Linked DNA regions of Canis lupus familiaris. The protein of the gene in region 1 interacts with the protein of each later gene in a pairwise test. Links are inferred from orthologs where the notes say so. Each region holds a gene or a part of one and is shown on either strand. Other genes may lie near its edges. The genes, in order: RNF41, UBE2K, ASB6, ISCA2, VPS52 and C15H1orf109.

Region 1 (3,500 bases):
CCTGCGACAACGCTGTGTTTGGCTGTAGTGCTGTTGTCCGGCTTGACAACCTCATGTCTCACCTCAGCGACTGTGAGCACAACCCCAAACGGCCTGTGACCTGTGAGCAGGGCTGCGGGTGAGATTACTTCCCTTCCTCTGCCCTGCACAGATGAGGGCCTTCTGGTTGATGACCACCCTTCCCGCACCCACACTCCCTGTCCCCAGTCCCCCATCTCCAGAGCCCCTGCTCACCAGCTCGGGAGCTCTCCGAGCGTGAATGTATGCAATGAGCGTCCTTGGCCTCCCTGGCTCCCCGCCCTAAGATCTGACTTCGGTGATGCTTTTTCAACTAGGATCTTTTTGCTCTTGTTTGAATGAAAGAGAGGAGGAAGCAGGTCCCAATCTGCGTGCTAGAACTAAGGGATGACTCCCTCTGTTCTTCCCCGTCAGCCCAGTACTCCTTTTTCTTTGTCACTATGACTGCTCTAATTTCGAGGCTTCTCATAGTTCCTTGCGCCTTGTTATTTTCTTTCTTTGGACTGTGAAATATTTGATTAAATGCTGCTGTCTAGCTAGGGCTGTGAATCTAGGGCTGCTCAGAAGGAATGGGTACATAGGCAGAATCTGTAGGAAGAAAGGAGAGCTGTGTGGCAGATAAAACACTCTTAGAAAGTGCAAGAGGCCCAGAGAAGGTAGAGAGCAAAGGAGCATGGGGGGCGGGGGCACGGGCGGGGCTGCTGGGGAGAAGGAAGTGAAGGGAATAAATAAGAGGGAGGCCTGAATGTTAGACACCTGGGCTAGGAGAAAAGCCTGTCGGCATCTCCTGCCTTCGCCCACGTGACCCATTGAATGCCCCTGTTCTGCTTTCCTCCCCACTCCGGGTGGCAGCCTGGAGATGCCCAAAGATGAGCTGCCAAACCACAACTGCATTAAGCACCTGCGCTCCGTGGTACAGCAGCAGCAGACACGCATCGCTGAGCTGGAGAAGACCTCAGCTGAGCACAAGCACCAGCTGGCGGAGCAGGTAGGGCCCAGAGATCATTGAGAGAACCTGCCTCTCATGTGCAGGTAACTGTGGACAACTGTGTGTGTGTGTGTGTGTGTGTGTGTGTGTGTGTGTGTGTGTGTGTGTGTGTGTGTACATGCCACGTGTGTGTGCAGATGACGGGGTAAGAAGCACCCGTGTGAGCAGGTGGGTCTGTGCCTGTGCTCGTGTGTCTGTGTGAACAGATGCTCCGCCTGTGGCTTGGTTGGGAATCGGATGGGAGCTCTTCTCCTTCTCCATCCCGTCAATGTTACTCATTCACCTAACATTTATTAAATGCCCCCTCTAAGAAGGTCCCCGCCAAGCACTCGGGTTACACTAGGAATGAGACAGTCCCATCCCTGTCTTTGTAAAGCTTACAGGTCTGGTTGTTCCTCGCATCTCTCAGCTGTCCTCATTCTAAGACACACTTTCGTCTTCCATTTGTTGTCTACCCTAACCGTCCTCTCTGATTCTCCTTCCCACCCACAGAAGCGAGATATCCAGCTGTTAAAGGCATACATGCGTGCAATCCGCAGTGTCAACCCCAACCTTCAGAACCTGGAGGAGACCATTGAATACAATGAGATCCTAGAGTGAGTGTCACTCAGGACATGGAGTCACTTGCTCCACGTCCTGGCACTGAGCCCTGAAAGGAGGAAGAGCCGGGGAGTGGCAGAAGGAGGGTAGTAAGAGGGCTGGGCTGGGGCCACGGCGTTTCAGATAATTGGGATGAAGGACAGGAAGAGAACTTTCAGCACCACTATAGGATCTTAAATTCTTTTGGGTGGATTGAAGGGAAAGCTTACCCAAGGATTCAATTCATCTGGACTTAAGTGAGTATGCACACGTACAAAGCCATGTTAAAGGCTGTGGGGAAAAAAAAGGCTGTGGAGTGCTGGGAGGGCCAAGAAGAAGGAAATACTGTCCTTATTGTCAGGTAGCTTACAACCCAGAGGAGTGAGTGAGTGCAAATCCAGGAGAGTGATCTAAAATGCAGCATAAACAAGCAAAGTCTAAAATCTGTTTCAGTGCTGGGGTTGTGTACGATTCACAGACTAAATTCTTAGTGTGAATCAGTATATTATATAATGCAAATGGTGCTGTGTGGGACACAGTATACAGGAATAATTGCTTCATCCGATAAACATTTACTGAGCACTTAGTACATGCCAGGCACGTATGTTCTATGTATTGGGGTTTCTAAGAAAGATGACAGGAACTCTTCACTTGTAGAGTTTAATCTGCTGAGTGACATGTTGGGACTCCTAGGGGACCAGCTAGAAAGATGTGGAGTTTCTGAACCAGTGATGGAAAAAGGAAAATGGAAGGTCAGGGTTGAGCTGAGCGCAGAGCAGGAGAAAAAGCCAATGCAGAGAAGGGGAATGAGCTGGAATGACCACCTCTAATCCCCTCCACACAGGTGGGTGAACTCCCTGCAGCCAGCCAGAGTGACCCGCTGGGGAGGGATGATCTCAACCCCAGATGCTGTACTCCAGGCTGTAATCAAGCGCTCCCTGGTGGAGAGTGGCTGTCCTGCCTCTATTGTCAACGAGCTGATTGAAAATGCCCACGAGCGTAGCTGGCCCCAGGGTCTGGCCACCCTAGAGACCAGACAGATGAACCGGCGCTACTATGAGAACTACGTGGCCAAGCGTATCCCTGGCAAGCAGGCTGTTGTCGTGATGGCCTGTGAGAACCAGCACATGGGTGATGACATGGTGCAGGAACCAGGGCTTGTCATGATATTTGCGCACGGCGTGGAAGAGATATAGGAGATCTCGACGGGCTAGCAGGAAGAGATGGCAATCAGAAAACCCATCACTCCAGCAGCTGGTCCCTGAGTCCTCCCTACTATTCATAGTACCGTGGCTTACACATGGGCCACACGTTTCCCTACTCTTCTGGCACTGAAGGGCCCAGGGCACTTTGCTCAACCTTTCAGGTGGGAAACCCAGATTCCTTCCTTTTGCCTGATTTCTTCCCCTAAGATGTCTGTAAATTTTCAGTCAGTTTGGGAAAGTCCCCACCTCTATATCTGTTTTCCTGCCTAGGGTCCCTGGTTCTAGATATTTTTAGAAAGCACAAAGAATTCATTTTCTCTAGAGGATCAGGGTGGAGTGAGGAATATCTAATCGTTCCCCCTCCTCCAAAACCAGGGAATCGGAGCAGGCAGGCTGGTTGACACTAAACAGCATGAGAGGGCAGCTCTGGGGAGCAGACATCCTGAAGAAATGGTAGGGATGGAATCAAAAACCCTAGAAATTAGCAATGAGGCCAGTAACTGGCCCCCTTAGGGGAAGACTGGACCTCTGTGCCAAGCAATATCCTGTCCGGCCCACCTTACAGGTGTAGGCTCCTGCTGGTTCTGCAGGTGTGCAGGTTGGGATGCTGAAAATTTCTAGGTGACTCTTCTTTCCTACATTTTTTCATAACTAGGGAATGACAGGGTTGGGGGTAGGGGATTAGTCTGTTGGGGTGGATGTGCTCAGCA
Region 2 (3,500 bases), on another chromosome or scaffold:
TAGCTCCAGTAGTTTTTATATTCAGAAAATCACTTAACTTTTGTCACGCTGCATGTTCTTAACTGAGATGTTTTCTTGTTTTGTTTTTTTAGGGCTGCAGCAATGACTCTCCGCACGGTATTATTGTCATTGCAAGCCCTTTTGGCAGCTGCAGAACCGGATGATCCACAAGATGCAGTAGTAGCAAATCAGGTAAGACTTGCTTGTACTTACCTATGAATTTCTACTACTGTAGTGATTTGCAGTGTTAACACATGAGCATAGTTCTATTTAGAAAGACTAAATTTGGAAATGGTTTTCTTTCTCATGGTAAGATTATTTTGTCAGATGTAATAGCGAAAACCTACTGATTTTTAATACACTACTTTGAGTATATGATGCTTTTTAAAAAACTTAATGGAAATTTTCAAACACAATGTCAAAATATTTATATAGTGAATACGCATATTCCTACCTGCATCTGGATTCTGTGATTAGCATTTTACTATACGTGCTTTATCATGTGCGTATCTATCCATCCCTCCATTTAGTGATAATCCTTCCCTGGTAATTTTAACCAGCTCTTGCTGTGACTGAAGTGGCATAGTGTAAAAGTTACCAAGGATCTTAAAATTGCCAGATGGAATAAATATTTTTTAGTTTTGATCTTTCAGTTGATGTGATCTCCAAGGCAGAGGTCCGCAAATTACACCTAGAGTTATTGTTTTTGTAAATAATGTTTTATTGGAATACAGCCACATCCATTTGTTTACTTATCTGGTCCTGTGAGAAACCCTGTTCTACGCCATTAGGATTTACTGAGCTTTTTTTTTTGTCCCCCACTTGGAATTTTTTTCTTCTCTTAACTTCTAACATACTACTCTCTTCTCATCTTGGTAGTTGTAGTTATTCCTTCTTAGTTCCTACAATTATTTCTTTTCTTCCTTCTAAAAAGAGTTCCTTGGTTTAGACATCATTCCTTTTACTTTTACTGTTGTATATGGTCACATGGATGATCATATCTACACTGATACTATCACCTGTAAGTTGAGAAAATGTTTAGGCATTACCTCTCCTTGAGTGCAAGAGCCTGTTCAGAACTGGATAGTTATATATGTTTCATGGATACCTCAGCATAGCATTCCCAAAACTGAATGTAGAATCTTAAATCCTCAGGGCAGCGCGGGTGGCTCAGTGGTTTAGTGCCGACTTCAGCCCAGAGCGTGGTCCTGGAGACCTGGGATCGAGTCCCACATCAGCTCCCTGTATGGAGCCTACTTCTCCCTCTGCTTATGTCTGTGCCTCTCTCTCTCTCCGTGTCTCTCATGAATAAATAATCTTAAAAAAAAAATCTTAAATCCTGCAAACGTGACCATCCTTCTATGATACCATCGCCTATTTAGTTAAGTATCCAAGCCACAGACTTGAAATTCTCTGTGCCTTCTTTTCTCTTGGTGATTCCATTCCCAATATCTCTCATACTTCTCTGATCGGCCTTAGTTCACATTTTAAAAAATGTCTTAGTTCAACTGCTCTGATAGCTGTCCCTTCCTTCATCTACTTGATAGCAGTGAGCTTTTTAAAGTAGAAATCTTACTTTACTACTAAAAACTTATTAGAAGCTCGGATATCACCTACTTGGTAAATCCAGATTCTTTGGTTTGCAGAGTTTTTCCATGATTTAACTGTCCACAAAACCAGCTTCATCTCCTAAATTCTTATTATTCCTCGGACTCCCGTTTTTTATGGACTCCTGCTTTTTTTAAGATGTCATTCATTTCTACCCGTCAGTTCACCTGGTCTGCTATGTTTCCTCTGCCTGGTTCCTATTAATAAACCTGTTCCTTTCCCTTGAAAAGCTGTTTGCTCTGGGGTACCTGGGTGGCTCAGAGTTGAGCATCTGCCTTTGGCTCAGGTCGTGATCCTGGGCCCTGGGATCGAGTCCTGTATCAGGCTAGCCTCTCTCTCTTCCTCTCTCTCTCTCTCTCTCCCCCTCCCTCTCTCTCTCTCTCTCTCTCTCGAATGAATAATTAAGATCTGAAAAAAAAAATCTGTTCACTCCTTATTTTCTGTATATCCTTATTAATATAATGTTTGTTTCAGAGTGCTTAGAATTAGGGTTTTACATGCTATATATATGTGCTGTTCGTTCGCTTTTGGTAGTCGGCATGGCTTGAAGTCTCAACTTTGATTTCCTGTGGAGTTATGAGCCTCAAGGGCTGAGGCTGGACATGGAACTTTCTCCAGCTCCTAGAACAGTTCAATAATTTGACATATTTCCTTGTTTAGAATTCGCAAGAATTCTTAATACAAGTAGAAACTAGATGTATTATTTTAATATATAATAGAAGCATATCAGTCTTAGAATACTCAATACATATAATTTTACTTATTTTTCAAAAGATTTTACTTATTTTATTCATGAGAGAGACAGAGAGAGGCAGAGACATAGGCAGAGGGAGAAGCAGGCTCCCTGCAAGGGATGCCAGCACTCCAGAATCAGGCCCTGAGCCGAAGGCAGATGCTCAACCACTGAGCCACCCAGGCATCCCCATGTAAAGTACTTTTAAAAGGAATACTAAAGTGAATTGAACAGTTACTTTAAATGTATATACTTCCATTATTAAGTAATGTTGGTTCCAAAGTATTTAAGAATAAATTTATCTGGGCAGCCTGGGTGGCTCAGCGGTTTGGTGCCACCTTCAGCCCAGGGTGTGATCCTGGAGACCCAGGATCAAGTCCCACGTCAAGCTCCCTGCATGGAGCCTGCTTCTCCCTCTGCCTATGTCTCTGCCTCTCTCTCTCTTTCTCTGTATCTCTCATGAATAAATAAGTAAAATCTTTTAAAAAAACTAAAAGTACTGTATGGTGGGTTCATAAACATCTCAAAACATGGTATAAATTAAAATACTGCATATTAGGGCATCTGGTTGACTGACTCAGTCTGTGGAGCATGCAACTCTTGATCTCAGGATTGTAAGTTTGAGCTCCATGATGGGTGCAGAGATTACTTAAAAATCTTGTTTTTTCCTTTAAGTTGGCTCCATGCCCAACATTGAGCCAGAACTCAAAACCCCAAGTAAAAGAGTTGCATGCTTTACCTCTGAGCCAGCCAGGTGCCCCCAGAATAAAATCTTTCTTAAAAAGCCTTTGCACATGGTATTTTCTTGAATCACTGTATATTAATACAGTTTCAGCAAAATAGCAAAGTCCACTTGTATTCTATTCTGAGCTGTGGTTAATATGAAAGTTGGTTTGCCTGGGTGGCTCAGTGGTTGAGAGTCTGCCTTCAGCTTTGGGGCATAATCCTGGGGTCCGGGATTGAGTTCTGCATCGGGCTCCTGCATGGAGCCTGCTTCTCCCTCTGCCTGTGTCTCTGCCTCTCTCTCTTTCTCTCTTGTCTCTCTCATGAATAAATAAATTTAAAAATATATATATGAAAGTTGGTCACATTTGTTACTGTCCCTACAATTTTAGAAGCAGATAATTCTCTTTGGTTGTATAATGTTTCACACTTTGCA
Region 3 (3,071 bases), on another chromosome or scaffold:
CCCTTGTACCACCTGGCCTTCCAGCTGTAGGCCTGGCTGCCTTAAGAGGAAGAGAACTCTCGGTCATAGAGGACTTTTTTCCCTTGGGGGGAGGAGAGGAGCCGGGCCTGGAGCTGGCACTGTCACCCTGTTGCTACGGCGAGCCTGGGCAGGCCTGCTACCTCCTGCAGCTGCTGGGGATGTTTGCTTTCTGAGGCCTGTGTGGTGATGGAGCCCTGGTGTCCCTAATGTGATCGTTACAAGTCTGCAGCCTCACTCCTGGCTGGGCCTGGCAGCTCCTCCTCGGTGAGCATTTTCAGTCAGAAAATAAAAGGGTGAATCCTGTAATGGGAAGGCCCTAGCCAGTGTGGAGTGGTACTCTTTTTTAACTGGGACAGCAGTGCTGTGTTAATTGTCCCCACCAGATGCTGCCGTCCCCTAGTGCTTCTCACCTCTTAATGGCTGCAGTGGGAGCCTTTATCTGAGGCTGGGGAAGGGTGAGGGGCCAAAATGTCACCTTGAAGGCCAAGAGAAATGTTTTACTTTATAATGTATCTTTAGTTGCCTCAGCTTGCTTCCCCAGCATTTACACAATTCATAAGGGCCCATGTGCCTGGGACTCGGCTTTGTGAGGGCTCGGCCTGGGCAGTACAGTCAGCTTTCAGCAGTGTAGCTTTCTTCATCAGATGGACCCCTCACAAAATTGTGAGACATTTTGGAAAGGACTGTCTCTGGTCATGCAGAATTGCTTTTAGCAGAAGACATGGTCTCCCAAGGTCCCAGGTTTGGCACAGACAGCTGCCACCAGAGTCCAGTCCCGTGCCTTGGTGGCTGGGCCGTGGGTGACCTGGTCCCAGAACGGCCAAAGGTGGCAGGGGTCAGCTCAGCTTTCTCCCTAGCCCACCAAAAGCACTTCTGTATGTGACATAATCTAGCATGAGGAGAGGCTGGGAGTGAAGGGCCTTGCAGGGTTGTCCCCCACAAGCCTACCATGCTTCCTTCTGGCTTTAGTTGGGCCCCATGCAAGACAGACCAGCCTCCTACAGTTCTCAGGAGGACAGAGACTCAAAGCTACCCTGCCTGATGCTCCCTGCAGACGAGGTGTACACTTGTCCCAAATCTACACCCTGTCCCTTTTCCCAATGTGGTTGAGACTTGGGGGTTCTGGCAGACAGAAGGGGGGGCAGTCCCCCTGGAAGACAGAGTTTTTTTCCCACAGGAATGACCGCAGCTGCTGGGCTCCACCTGTGTTCTTGGTACACAGTTAGGATCAAGTCTCCTCTCCCAACCTGTACCTTCCGGAAGATGGCCAGAAGGTTCTCCCCTAAGGCTGCCACAGGTACCAAAATCCACCAGCAGGCTGAGCTGCCCAGACCCTGCACCCTTCCATCCGGGAGTGGTCAGATGTCCTCTTCAACGGTACCACTATGCTCACTGAGGAGGTACCATTTCAGCCTGTCAGGCAGAGGTAGGGCTTTGACCTTCGCATCCACAGGCCAGGGCTGAAGATAGAGCCGGATGTAAACCCGACATAGGTGCTTGAGGGATGGAGGATAGCTCTCCAGCTGCCTCAAGGAGAAGTGAAGGGCCTGGATCTTCTCTGCTAGACTGCCCACAGGATGGATATCGAAGTTTTCAGGCAGCTGGAGTTTCTGGGAATTCGTCACCATGAGATCTAGGACGGTCTCAGCTTTGCGCAGGAGGTCCACGTGGCTCTCATCTTCAGCACAGCCTGGGTGGGAACAGAGCCTCTCAAAGATGATGTGGAAGCCAGACCAGCAGGATGCACCATGGAGGGAACAGTTATAGGCAGCTCCAGACTCCAGCAGGAAGCGCAGGAGAGGGAAATGCAGTTTGAAGCTCTTGAGGCAGATGTGTGTGAGGGACTCGTGGGCTGGGCACTCGCTGGGGTCAGCCCCATGGGCCAGGAGCAGCTGTGTGACTTGGAAGCAGAAGCGGCTGATCATCTGGGCCTCTTCTTTGTCCCCTCCCACCGTCTCACCAAGCAGGAAGATGATGCAGGTGAACACAGTGTCCCCGTCTTTGGTGGTAGCCTTCACATCTGCCCCTACAAGAGCCAGTCAGGAAAAGAGAAAACAGGAGAAGGTCTTAAATCCCTGCAAAGTAATGCTTCATGTTTAATGGTGGGAAGAAAGAGAAGGGCCTGGGAACAGCCTGTGGACCAGCCTCACCTCCTTCCAGTAAGAGCCGGATATTCTCAGTATTATAGATCTGCACCCCGTCACTGCTGGCCAAAGCATGGAGCAGAGCAGTCTTTCCTATGGAAGGAAGAGAATGAGGAGTGTGGACCAGGAAACCAAGGTCAGGACCACCCCTCAGGTGCAGGGGACACCACAGGATGAGAAAGTGGACTTTGTTTTGTCCTCAAGGATTTTAAGTAATCTTTACACCCAACATGGGGCTTGAACTCACAACTCTTGAGATCAAGAGTCACATACTCTACCAACTGAGCCAGCTGGGCACCCCCCAGAAAGCAAACTTTAAAAAGGACCAACTTCTCAGCCAAGGTGGAGGGTGATCGGTTTCTAGTCATTCCCTTTCCACCAACACAGAACCAAGAGCAGAGTGGCCAGAAGACGTGGGATATTTCTGGACACGCAGATGCTGCTACCTGAGACCCGGGCTTAGTCTCTGCCAAGAAGTGCTAACTCTGCCTCAGAATCTGACCACATGCATGCCCTACTTCCTCCTGCAGACAGACCTCAAGGGGCTGGCGTGGGGCCAATGGCTGCACCACTTCCTGAAAGCTTCTGCAGGTCAGCAAAATGCAGCAAAATCTAGCCTGCACACCTAGCCACTGTCCTGGGGTGCTCTGGCTTTCCCTCGCAAAGCACCCGGTGCCAGGTGCCCTGCTTTCCTGTGGGAGGCACCCACCATGCTTATCAGCCGCGTTGACGTCTGCTCCAAGATCCAGGAGGCGCTGCAGGCAGGGCAGGCGCTCGGGCTCCTCACTGGCCAGGTCCAAGGGGCTGCTCTCATGGATCTGAGCCAAGAAAGCATAGCTGAATGGGCCTGGGGGCCTGTGAGGCTGCCCATAGCCCCCCACTCACCACATCCCTGCTTCAGAGCAG
Region 4 (4,241 bases), on another chromosome or scaffold:
CTGCATTTCCTTTTTTAATGGTAAAGTCTTCTACTGAATGACCTTAATTCCAATCCAGTTCAGAAATTTAAGTTTTTGCTGTAATGAACTTTTAGGAAAACAAAGGCTTAACCAATAATTTTTCCAGAATCAATTTGAATCAATTTGGTTGTGGTTTCCCCAACATAAACATTAATAAATCATTTGTTGTGATGGTGGGATTTGTCTTTTTTTAGTTGTCTGTCCACACAGTTCCGGATCCCCCAGCACTGTCACATACATGCCACAATTATTCTAGTTCTGTAGCCTAATTAAGTGCCATACCCAAACAATAACTTTAAAATTTAATGGACTTGGCTTTAAAAGCTTTTCTTTCAGTGACCCTAAAAAAAAGTTGCCAGGTTTAACAAATAAAAATACACAATGCCCAGTTAAATTTGAATTTCAAATAAATGACAAATAATTTTTAGTAGATGTTTCATGAAATATTTGGGACATAATAAAAGTTATTTGTCGTTTATTTGAAATTCATATTTAACTGGGCATCATTTTATCTGGTAATCCAACCTGAAAGAAAATCCCTAACTATCCATTATCTATACCAATAAATGGACCACTTCCTGCAAAGCAGGAGACCAGTGACATTTTACAGCATTAAGTGAAACAATGTATCCTAAAAAGACTCAGTCACTGAATGATCACAGAATCTTTAAGTGTCTGTGTGAGTATGGAGTATGGGGACTATTTTTCAAATGATTCAGGTTATCAGTGAGAGTTAGTTAGATCCAAGTTTTCTGGGTGGGCTGTTGGTTTTATGAATCTAGCACACAGGCTAGTAAGAGAGAAAAATATATCTACCCTAACAAATGGGAAGTGGAGAAAAAGAAGGATTTCAACTAGCACATTCAGAAGAGTGAGATGAAAAAAAGAATCTTCCCTTTGCCTTTCTCATCCTCTCTAGCCTAGCCGGTGTTCAAGCTACCCAATCTGTGACCCTGATCCAGAACACAAGTAAATAAGGACTTTCTTCAAAATGAAGCTTTTATACATAGCTATACACCTATATATAAGCAGCTGTGAAGCTCAGAAAACAAACTCCAAATTTTGGAAGCTTGGAGGCTCTACAGATTATACTGGGTGGGTTTCAACCAGTCAGTAGATCTTAGATCACAGCACCTGGAGGCTTAGCCTTAGAAATGTGTGAGTGGAATTAAATCAAGTGTAAAAGCTTCATATTCTGAAAATAACAGTGGCAAAACACAACATTCCTGGACTGAGGGAAATAAAATTGAGAGAAGGACATGATTGGAAGGAAACCTCTAGAATTCTACTAATCCCAGGTTCCTCAAACTGGTACAAGCGGTGGCAATCTCTGGATCACCTGTTGTTACATCAAAGTTTGATAGAGAAGGATGATCCACAGGAGCAGCCTTGCTGTGCTTGAGGATTGTTCAACACTTGAAACGAGCTTCGGATCAGTTCTTGGCTGAAGTCCACCTGGGCCCCTTTCACGAAGGCCAAGCTATCAGAGTCAACCACCACTTTTGCCCCACCCTGTTCAAATACCCTGAAAAGACAGGAGGAAAACATTAATGACGATCATAAACACCAAATACACAATATCCTCTGAGCCCCAAGGTGCACATCCTGTTGACCAAATACAGGTGAGGCATTCCTCATTACCTCTAAAACAGGTGCTGCTTTTGCTTTTCTCTGATCCAAAGAGTCAATGGAATGAATAGTGGTCAATGTTTAGGGACTTAGGACCTAGGCAGGCCAACTTTCCTCCTATAACATGGTTGTTCTGAGTCATGACAACAAATCTTCACTTGTACTCCCACTGCGTGAGAATGGTGGTGTTAGGCGTTCTTAGCAGATCCTTTATTTTTTTTTTGTTGTTGTTTTTATTTATTTATGATAGTCATAGAGAGAGAGAGAGAGAGGCAGAGACACAGGCAGAGGGAGAAGCAGGCTCCATGCACCGGGAGCCCGATGTGGGATTCGATCCCGGGTCTCCAGGATCGCGCCCTGGGCCAAAGGCAGGCGCCAAACCGCTGCGCCACCCAGGGATCCCATTAGCAGATCCTTTAAATTTGAAGTTAAACGTCCACTTTTATCCCTCCCACACGTTCTCAGAAGACCCACCCCTTCCTTCTTGCCTGTCGTCGGGGTTGATAACTGTATCCAGTGAAAATTTGTATTGGAATCCGGAGCATCCACCTCCCTCCACTTCCAGCCTGAGGAATTCTGACCCTTCGGTGATTTCCAGAAGCCTCTGAATTGAAGGAAAAAAAAAAAAAAAAAGATGGGGTGGGGGGTGGGGATCAAGAACGCCAGGCAAAGAGAGAAAGAAGGGGAGGCCAAGGGGCAGTCCCCGTACCCCGGGCAGTCGCCGCACGCCTACCTGGACGCAGCTGTTAGTGAGGTGGATCTGCCCTTCGCCGGCCTCGGGGCTGGAGGACGACGTTTCCCGACGAGCCTGAGGTCCGCGAAAGGCCGCGAGGAGCCTGCAGCGCAAGGCAGGAGGATGAGCCCCGCAGCAGAGGGACACCTGGTGGCTTCCACCTGGACAGCCTCCCGCCAAACCCTCGCCTCCCCCGCAGGCCTTAGTTTCCCCCTTAGACCCGGAGGCGCAGAACTTAACACCCTCCCCAAGTGCCTTTGTAGACGTGGTACCTGCCCCTTGCCCACGGAGTGACCGCCCTTAACGCAGCCACCGCTACAGACAACCCGCCGACGGCCGCCATCTTCCTCCACAGACTCTGCCCCTCGCGTCACTCCAATCCTCTGCTCCAATCCCCGGTCTCCACCCACGGAGACCCCGCCTCCGAGCACACCTATTGGGTGGTGCTGGAGGAGACGGGATTTGATTGGCTAGGGATGCTCTCACGACGGAGGGGGCGTGCCAAGAGGCTCGGGCGGAGCGCCGGGGCGGGGAGGGGGCGGGGAGGGGAGGGGGCGGAGCGCCGGGGCGGGGAGGGGGCGGGGCGGAGCCGGAGCCTAGCCGGCGGGGCCCGGGGCGGGCAGGATGGGCGGAGACAGCCGGCGTCTGGGCGGGCCCGAGCCAAACGCGGCTCTCGGGAGCCTGGAGCAGGGGGCGGGCCGCGGGCGGGCCGCGGGCGGGCCCAGCCCGGGTTACTGGTGACTGGTCGCCTGACCGGGATCCTCCCCTGGCCCACCCCGGCAGGTTATCTTGTGACTGAGGCGGTCGCTTCTTCCTCCCTGGAGCGCTTGGAACCTGTCTAGCCGCGATGCGTCTCTTGGTCGCCGCGTTCCTGCTCCTGGCGCTCGGCGCCTCGGCCCTGGCGGAGCCGGTGCATTTCAAGGACTGTGGTGAGTCCGAACCTGCCCGAGATTCCCGCGCCCTCTGCGGGAGCCCCCCCGAACCCTGCCCCGAGCCCCCGGGCTCGGTGGGGCGGGCCCCGCGGGCGGCGGGGCTCGGCGTGGGACCCTCCGGGAGCGGGCTGCGGCGGGCCGCCGTTAGGGAGCCGGTGCCCGCGGCGAAACCCGACGGCACGCAACTTTGTCTCTGTCCTGGGACGCGCGATTGGGGTCCCTGGGCGTTTCCTGGAGCTGGGCCTTTTGCTGAAGTTCTTGAAGTCGGTAGGGCCGGCCGTGGAAGGTCCCAGTGCTGCGCGGGGCGTGGGGGGTGGCGGGTGGGGGGTGTCACAACTTCCTTTTTTTGTATGCCCCTTATCTCGGATGCCCTCTCCCTCCCCACGCCGTTTGCTTTTCTTTTAAATTTCCCTTTTTGCTGGCAAGTCAAAAGTCCATTCTCCTTTGCATGATTTCTTCCATCACCGCTTCCTTTGAGCTATATGATTTTGTGCTTCTTAATCACTTTTTCCTCCTGGATATAAAACTCGTGTTGCCAATTACAGCTACATTTCTGCATAATAGGCAAAGAAAAGCTATAGTTCTTTTGAACTATGATATGTGATCCAAAGGAGCTTTATATTTTCCATGTATGCTGCCATTTTTCTGGTTGGTAGAAAATGTAATTAGCAGGCACAGTTTTACTATTTTATACTTAATAAAATAGCTTTACTTTTTTGGGGGGCCAAGACTGGTGATATGTGTATAAAGCACTGTAATATAAGATCCATAGATTTCTATTTATGCTGTTTTATGATTACATGAAATTCAATCTATCAGCCTTTTAGTAATGCAGTTGATGAGTTTTGGTGGATCTCAATTTTGTGTCAAGGTTTTCCCTGGGAAAGATGTTGCCTGGGGGAAACCGTGCCATAGTATTTTAGTGT
Region 5 (2,914 bases), on another chromosome or scaffold:
TCTTGGTTCCTTTTCTGTCAATAGCCATCAGTGATCACTGCCTACATCCATGAACTAGATTTCCATAACCCTCAATGTCTCAAAATTTCCCATCTCATCTGTGCTACATTTTAAGTCATTTCTTCAATTATAAAATTCAATTTGCTGTATCATTCTTCAGGTATTTCTAATCTGCTGTATAACCTGTTGACTTTTTAAAATTAAAGACTTTTAATTTTTAAGTCATCTCTTGAAAGTTTCATTTTGTTTCAAGTCTGTCCATTCCTCATCTTGTTGAGTCGTCATCTTTGTGTCTATATTTTTAATTCTTTGAATGTTTCATACAGAACTCACAACTGCTGTGTATATGACAGTTTTTTTTTAAAGATTTTATTTATTTATTCATAGACACAGAGAGAGAGGCAGAGACACAGGCAGAGGGAGAGGGAGAAGCAGGCTCCATGCCGGGAGCCCGATGTGGGACTCGATCCCAGGTCTCCAGGATCACACCCCAGACTGCAGGCGGCGCCAAACCGCAGTGCCACCAGGGCTGCCCGTATCTGACAGTTCTGATGTTGGCAGTCTTTGGTATACCAGTCTAAGTCCATTGCTTATTGTTTATACTGTTTCTCATGGTAGTTTCCTTTCATATGTGTCTGACGATCTTTGAGTTCATTGCTCTGTCTTAATCAGGGGGAGTCATATGGGCCTAAAATGAGATTGAGGATATTTTTCTGTCAAGAGGATTTGCCTCTGCGTTTACGGTAGGCAAATTACTGAAAGACCTAATCCACCTCGATTTATGTCAGCACCCCTTTGAGGCTCTCACAAGAGGCCCAGGCTCCGCTTCTCCACTTGAGTCTGGCATCAGGCTCAGATTCCAGATAGCAGAGTTGCCATCGCCATTTGTCTTCTGGCAGCCTTGCCTCTCCCAGCTTCCTACCTTTCTGGTTCTGGCTCTGATCCCAATTACTTGTGCTTTGCTCCCCAGTTCAAGTTTAGTGTTTTGGGACCATTGGTGTCTTAAAGTATGTAATTTGCTCTGGCAATATTCTGAGGATCTAGTCATTCATGATGCCAGAAGTGGGAAAATGTCTTGATACCAGGACATTTGACTATGTGTATGTGTGTGTGCTTATTTCTACAGGAATTCATTGAAGAGTTGTTGTCTCCCCCTTTTGGGGGTCTGGTGGCATTTGTGAAGGAAGCCGAGGCTTTAATTGAACGTGGACAGGCTGAGCGACTTCGAGGGGAAGAAGGTATGCAGATGATGTGGTCAGGTGGTGGAGTTAATGGTAAGGGGAGTGGAAAAGAAAAATGAGAGGAGGCAGATTCCATGAGGAGGGGGTAGAGCAGGAAAATGAGATTGGATGTGGAAGAGGGCTGTGCCTTGGGGAGGACGTAAGGGTTAAAGATCACCTAGCCAAGTCCTTTTCTGAGACCCTCTCTCTTTGCTCCTGCCATCAGCCCGGGTTACTCAACTGATCCGTGGCTTTGGTAGTTCCTGGAAATCATCAGTGGAGTCTCTGAGTCAGGATGTAATGCGGAGTTTCACCAACTTCAGAAATGGAACCAGTATCATCCAGGTAACTTGCAGCTTCCAGGCCTCCCTTCCCTCCAACCCCTATCATTAGTTGTTTTCTCTGGGCTCAGCATCATCCAGGTGACCCATGACCTTCAACTACCAGCATGCCCAAAGTTCTGGATGAGCCCTAGCCTGATTCCTGATACCATCTCTAGCACCACTCCACAGCCTGATCTTTCATGACTTTCTCTGACCAGGGAGCTTTGACCCAGCTGATCCAGCTCTATCATCGCTTCCACCGGGTACTCTCTCAGCCCCAGCTCCGAGCTCTCCCTGCCCGGGCAGAGCTTATCAACATTCATCACCTTATGGTGGAGCTCAAGAAGCACAAGCCCAACTTTTGATGCGCCAGACCCTGGGATCCACCCGCCTTCTCCATGGACTTCCGTACCCCATCCCAGACTCTTCTTCATCTGGGGTTTCCTTAACAGTTGTCCACCTGCCTCCCAGGTCCTTGACATGCCTCACCCTGCCTCATCAGAATAAGCTGGATCACCTTGTTTTTGGGTTCCCAGGACCACTCCCCCCGGGCTTCCAAAAGCCTTTATCATTTCCCTGATTTCACCACCCCTTCCCCCACACCCAAGTTCTCTTCCCCCAGTAAAATCTTTACTGTTTCAGTCTCAACTCTTGTCACCATGGCCTGAGGTGCAACGCCTCAACTCTTGGAATTGGTGGCAAGGCAAGTCATTGATTTTTTTTTTTCCCCTTTCACTCAGTGATTTCTTTTCTGTAGCTTTTTGACCTAAGATCTCAGCAACTTGAACACTAACAAGACCTCTCCTGGCTTGAGAGTTACTCCAAGGTCAGTCTGCAGAAAACAATAAATATTTAATATGACATAATACTCTTCTCTCATTTCCTTCCTCCTTCTTCCTGGGGCCTTCAAGTGGCCCCCACCTCTGCTCCAGGATCACTTTTTTGTTCTGGCTCTCTCCTGGGCTTATCTCCCTTCTGGTGGGTGTCCAGAAGAAGGGGTACAGATAGTAACTTCTAATCTCTAGCTGCTTCAGGCCAAAGAAGTAGCAGCGTTGGTTTTAGGGAGGGGACTGTGTCGTGAGTAACCAGCCTGGTGGAGGAAGGTGGCCCCTGGTTAAAAATGGCAAATACCTCAAAAAAAAAAAAAAAAGGGCAGATCCCTCAAGGGCTGGGAACACGGTTGTACAGCCTCAGGCACTGTTCCACAGGCTACCTTGATTCCCTAACAGGGGCTTAACTTGCATGGGGGGCTGGAGGGCTGTAGCACTCACACCAGGGCGGGGGTGGGACAGGTTTGCAGCGTGCCTGTTTCATCTATTTCTGTGTTTGCTTCCTACTGCACCCCTACACCTCGTTTGAACTCAGACTCTA
Region 6 (4,241 bases), on another chromosome or scaffold:
CAATTTGAACACAACGTGCTTTTCTATGCAGGACGGAACCTACATAATAGCTAATAATAAAGAAACGAGGAAAAGTAAGGGCACCCCAGAGCAGAAACGAGAGCCTGTCGCATGTCCTTGGGCATTTAACATGGGGGCCAGAGAACAGGCTGCAGTTTTCTGCTGGCCAGAAAAACTTGAGTCCTTGCGCTTCACAATCTGATTTGCCCTTTTTTTTTTTTTAACTGACGGTTTCCATGAGATGCAGAAAGTACGGCTTAGGGTTCTCCAACCATCTGAGCTCTGGTTAACGAACCAAGTTATTCAGGTATCCGTTTTTAAGCGACTGGATAAACTATCCAAAAAAAAAAAAAAAAGAGAGAGAGAGCGAGCAAGTGAGAGAGAGCGTTTTGTGACACAAAAAATGCACACAAATTTCACATTTCTGTGCGTCCCTAAGTAACGTTTTCCTGGAACACATACATGCACCTGTTCAATCCAGCAGTTTTGGGCCTAGAACAGCTTGAATTGAGTAGCTGCAAAGCTTCAAGAATTCAGTATGGGGTCCTTTAGAGGGGATGGATGCCTGCCTGCCTGCCTGCCTGCCTGCCTGCCTACCTGCGGGGCAGATGACGTCAGAGTCCTGTGCAGACAGGTGAAGCAGGGAAGTGCAATAAGCAGCGCAGGGGGGCGGGGGGCGGGGGTGATCACCGCCGGCCGAGGCCTGGGGACGCGAGCGGCTCTTACCGAAGTAGTCGAGCCAGTTCATCTCGCGCAGCGCCTTGGGGAGCCGCAGGATCTCGATGTTGTACAGGTTGTCCATCTCCTTGAGGAGGTTCTGTGTGTCCGACTGGATCTGCTTGGACCGTATTTGCACTGCGGGCAGGGCACACGGGCGGGTGAACCGGGGCCCGGGGCCCCGCACCCCACCCCGCCCGCACCCCGGCTGCGCCCCCTACCTTCCCGGTCGAAGTCCCGAAGAAAGGAGGCGAGCTTCCGGCTCCGCAAGGAGCTGGTCTTGGCCACCCGACTGCCGCCCTTCCTAGCCGGAGCCATGGCGCTTGGGTGGAGGCTGCGGGCGCCCCCGGGGCGTGGGGGGGGGGGGCGGTCAGCGGCCGAGGTCGCGGGAGAGGCCGGGCGGGCGCCCTAAGGGGCGAGCGGGGGGCACAGGCTGCCCCGGGGAGGCCCGAGCTTAAACGAGGCGCGGGGCACGTACATGCGGGTCGCCGAAAGCGTCCAAGAGAACCCCCGCCTCCGCAGCCGCAAGGACGGAGCAGCTCCTTGCAGAACCCGACGTGCAGCCGCCGCCGCCGAATTCAAACCGCCACCGGCTGACGAATCAGAAGTCGCCGTCTTGGGAGGCTCCCGCAACATCCAATCACAAGGACGCTCCGCCCGTAGGACTACAGCCCCCAGAAGGCATCGCGCGTTGCGACCTCCGTTTGCGCCGCGGCGGCCGCGCTGGAGCATGCGCGGAGAGGCGGCGAGGGAGCGCCGGGCGTGGGTGCCCCGGTGGGCGCCCCCGCTTAGCCGCCGCGGGCTTCCAGGGCTCCCGCCGGTTCGGGGAAGGCGACCGGAGCTGCCAGGGGAGGAGACAGAACTCGGGCTCAAGGCCCGGGTTTCGGGACAGCGCTGCGACCTGAAAGCGGGGCCGCCCCCGGGTCGGAGGGGGTACACGGCGCTTGCGCACGGGAACCCTCGCACCTGGGCCGCCTGGCGCTGCCCGCCGGCCTGGGCTTGTCCGGCAGGTGATGGCGCAGGACCAGCCTCTGCTCGCCGTGCGGGAGGCCCTGAGGGGCTGCTTCCCCGCCGTGCAGGAGCAGCAGCGCCGCTGGCGGGGCGCGCTCGGGGACTGCCAGCCCCTGCTGGCCGCGCTCGGCAGCCTGGCGGAGCAGCTGCAGGCGGCTCAGGTCGCGCGGCTGGACGACGCGCCCCCGCTTCGGGCCTTCCCGGGCCTGCGGGAGCGGCTGCGGCGCAAGCAGCTGGAGGCTGGCGACGACGTGTTGGACAAGCTAGGGGAGACGCTGTAAGAAGAGCTCCGCGCGGGAGGGTGGAGACGCGGGGGCTCCCTAAGCAGCTAGGATCAGTCGGAGAGGGGGTTTCCCCTTCCCTGGAAGGGAAGGAGGTGTCGCAGCCTCGCCTCTTCTCCATTTGTTGCAATGGGATTTATTGATTGATTGATTGATTGATTGATTTTATGCATGGGACGCAGGCAGAGGGAGATGCAGGCTCCACGCAGGGAGCCCGACGTGGGACTCTATCCTGGGTCTCTAGGGTCACGCCCTGGGCTGCAGGCAGATGCTCACCCGCTGAGCCACCCGGGGGTTCCCCGCAATGGGACCTCTTGTCACAAAGTCGTTTTACAGGGGCACCTGGCTGGCGTGGTCAGTCGGGCTTTGGGCTCTGTGGTTTTGGCTCAGGTCGTGCTCTCAGGTGGTGAGGTCAAGCCCGGCGCTGGGGCTCTGCACTCAGTGTGCAGTCTGCCCTCCTTCCTTCCCTTCCTCCCTTCCTTCCTCCCTTCCCTTCCTTTCCTTCCTCCCTCACTTCCTCCCTTCCCTTCCCTTCCTTCCCTTCCTTCCCTTCCCTTCCTTACTTTCCTTCCTTCCTCCCTTCCCTTCCTTCTTCCCTTCCCTTCCCTTTTAGAGAGAGGGGATAAGTGGGGAAAGGGGCAGAGGGAGAGAGAGCATTTCAAGGAGACTCCCAGCTGGGCGCAGAGCCCCATGCAGGGCTCCCATGTCACGATCCGTCATGACAACATGACCTGAGCCAGAATCGCAAGGGAATGCATCCCTGACAAAGGCACCCCGCGCGGATAGGCCTTTTCTCGACTAGAGCAAAATAAGTGTCCAGTGTATACGGTCTGTGCCCTAGGCTAACGGGAACAGGTCGAGTACAGGGATCTTCTTTGTAGTCATTTGTACAAGAGAGCTGAGCACCTGTAATTAAGCCACGCACAAGGTGGTGGGAATATAGCAATGAACCAGGCTTGGTTTCTTTGTAGATTAGAAGAGAGAGAGTTTTTTTTTTTTAAGATTTTTTTTAAAGATTTATTCATTTATTTATGATAGACATAGAGAAAGAGAGGTAGAGACACAGGCAGAGGGAGAAGCAGGCTCCATGCCGGGAGCCCGACGTGGGACTCGATCCCGGGACTCCAGGGTCACGACCTGGGCCGAAGGCAGGCACTAAACCACTGAGCCTCCCAGGGATACCCCTTTTTTTAAGATTTTATTTATTTATCCATGAGACACACAAAGAGAGAGGCAGAGACACAGGCGGAGGGAGAAGCAGGCTCCATGCAGGGGGCCTGATGTGGGACTCGATCCCAGGTCTCCAGGATCACGCCCTGGAATAATAAGAATATTATTACTATTATGCTCACTGTGAGCTGGGCACTTCCCTAAGCACTTTATAAGCATTATTGCATTTGATCCTCCCAAGAACCGTTTCACTCCATTCATTCATTGAACAAGTGTTTGTCATTCTACGTGCCAGTCTCAGGGTTGTGAGCACTTAGGGTGTGCAGTGAGCAACACCATTTTTATACATGATTGAGCGTTAAGTAACTTCTCCTATCTGCAGTAGTCTCTCTCTGTGCACCCAGAGCAGTTTTTCCCACTGGGACGTTTGGCAGTGTCTGGAGACCCGATTGATTGTCCTGACGTGGTTTGCTCCTCTCATCTAGCGGGTAGAGGCCGAGGATACTGCTCAGCATCCTAACACGCACAGGACAACAACTCTCCACCACAAGGGACCGTCCAAATTGAAATGTGCATGTGCTGAGGTTGAGGACCCCTGCCTTAGGGTCCTCTCGTGGTATTGCCTAATGTGAGACTTTTCCCCCCAGAGCTACCCTCCTCAAGGTGCGTGACGTTGTCAGCAGGCACGTGGAACAAGTGTTTGAGGTCTATGAGCAGCACGCAGACGCGATTGGCATTGATGCTGTCCAGCGGGCTTCAGCGGTGAGCCCCTCTGTGGCTGACATGTTGGAGTGGTTGCAGGATATTGAGAGACACTATCGAAATGCGTATCCTTTGCGAATATGTTTCAGACAGCATCCAGAGCTGTCTCAGGAAGTTTTTCATTTCAGTTTTCACGAGAGCATACGACTATAGAGTGCAGGTCAGTTCTCATTGTCTTTGAACTTGGGGAAAAATGAAACGGGGCAAGCGAAGGGCGAGGGTGGGGCTGTGATCTTAAACATGGTAGTCAGGAGAGGCCTCACTGAGATAGTGACATTTGAGAAAAGACCTAAGGAAGAT

What was found.
Region 2: the proteins of RNF41 (region 1) and UBE2K interact in binary tests that used the Homo sapiens proteins (3 or more experiments, as listed by UniProt). The link is inferred for Canis lupus familiaris from reciprocal best matches to the Homo sapiens genes RNF41 and UBE2K.
Region 3: the proteins of RNF41 (region 1) and ASB6 interact in binary tests that used the Homo sapiens proteins (3 or more experiments, as listed by UniProt). The link is inferred for Canis lupus familiaris from reciprocal best matches to the Homo sapiens genes RNF41 and ASB6.
Region 4: the proteins of RNF41 (region 1) and ISCA2 interact in binary tests that used the Homo sapiens proteins (3 or more experiments, as listed by UniProt). The link is inferred for Canis lupus familiaris from reciprocal best matches to the Homo sapiens genes RNF41 and ISCA2.
Region 5: the proteins of RNF41 (region 1) and VPS52 interact in binary tests that used the Homo sapiens proteins (3 or more experiments, as listed by UniProt). The link is inferred for Canis lupus familiaris from reciprocal best matches to the Homo sapiens genes RNF41 and VPS52.
Region 6: the proteins of RNF41 (region 1) and C15H1orf109 interact in binary tests that used the Homo sapiens proteins (3 or more experiments, as listed by UniProt). The two-hybrid records come from large-scale screens. The link is inferred for Canis lupus familiaris from reciprocal best matches to the Homo sapiens genes RNF41 and AIRIM.

The regions. Positions count from the first base shown.
Region 1 is NC_049231.1:867,130-870,629, reverse strand, and holds part of RNF41 (E3 ubiquitin-protein ligase NRDP1), read left to right. Parts: coding exon 1-118; intron 119-870; coding exon 871-1,006; intron 1,007-1,498; coding exon 1,499-1,602; intron 1,603-2,429; coding exon 2,430-2,781; 3' UTR 2,782-3,500. UniProt on the Homo sapiens protein: Acts as E3 ubiquitin-protein ligase and regulates the degradation of target proteins. Polyubiquitinates MYD88. Negatively regulates MYD88-dependent production of pro-inflammatory cytokines.
Region 2 is NC_049224.1:73,290,153-73,293,652, reverse strand, and holds part of UBE2K (ubiquitin-conjugating enzyme E2 K), read left to right. Parts: intron 1-92; coding exon 93-192; intron 193-3,500. UniProt on the Homo sapiens protein: Accepts ubiquitin from the E1 complex and catalyzes its covalent attachment to other proteins. In vitro, in the presence or in the absence of BRCA1-BARD1 E3 ubiquitin-protein ligase complex, catalyzes the synthesis of 'Lys-48'-linked polyubiquitin chains.
Region 3 is NC_049230.1:54,248,449-54,251,519, reverse strand, and holds the end of ASB6 (ankyrin repeat and SOCS box protein 6), read right to left. Parts: intron 2,984-3,071; coding exon 2,875-2,983; intron 2,259-2,874; coding exon 2,172-2,258; intron 2,048-2,171; coding exon 1,380-2,047; 3' UTR 501-1,379; downstream 1-500. UniProt on the Homo sapiens protein: Probable substrate-recognition component of a SCF-like ECS (Elongin-Cullin-SOCS-box protein) E3 ubiquitin-protein ligase complex which mediates the ubiquitination and subsequent proteasomal degradation of target proteins.
Region 4 is NC_049229.1:47,966,805-47,971,045, reverse strand, and holds the start of ISCA2 (iron-sulfur cluster assembly 2 homolog, mitochondrial), read right to left. Parts: upstream 2,801-4,241; 5' UTR 2,727-2,800; coding exon 2,656-2,726; intron 2,487-2,655; coding exon 2,384-2,486; intron 2,255-2,383; coding exon 2,139-2,254; intron 1,547-2,138; coding exon 1,372-1,546; 3' UTR 1-1,371. Other genes in the region: NPC2 (NPC intracellular cholesterol transporter 2 precursor), read left to right, coding at 3,231-3,312. UniProt on the Homo sapiens protein: Involved in the maturation of mitochondrial 4Fe-4S proteins functioning late in the iron-sulfur cluster assembly pathway. May be involved in the binding of an intermediate of Fe/S cluster assembly.
Region 5 is NC_049233.1:2,852,072-2,854,985, reverse strand, and holds the end of VPS52 (vacuolar protein sorting-associated protein 52 homolog), read left to right. Parts: intron 1-1,126; coding exon 1,127-1,238; intron 1,239-1,446; coding exon 1,447-1,565; intron 1,566-1,761; coding exon 1,762-1,908; 3' UTR 1,909-2,414; downstream 2,415-2,914. UniProt on the Homo sapiens protein: Acts as a component of the GARP complex that is involved in retrograde transport from early and late endosomes to the trans-Golgi network (TGN).
Region 6 is NC_049236.1:4,885,377-4,889,617, forward strand, and holds the start of C15H1orf109 (uncharacterized protein C1orf109 homolog), read left to right. Parts: upstream 1-1,441; 5' UTR 1,442-1,730; coding exon 1,731-2,005; intron 2,006-3,826; coding exon 3,827-4,006; intron 4,007-4,241. Other genes in the region: CDCA8 (borealin), read right to left, coding at 727-855, 939-1,035. UniProt on the Homo sapiens protein: Part of the 55LCC heterohexameric ATPase complex which is chromatin-associated and promotes replisome proteostasis to maintain replication fork progression and genome stability.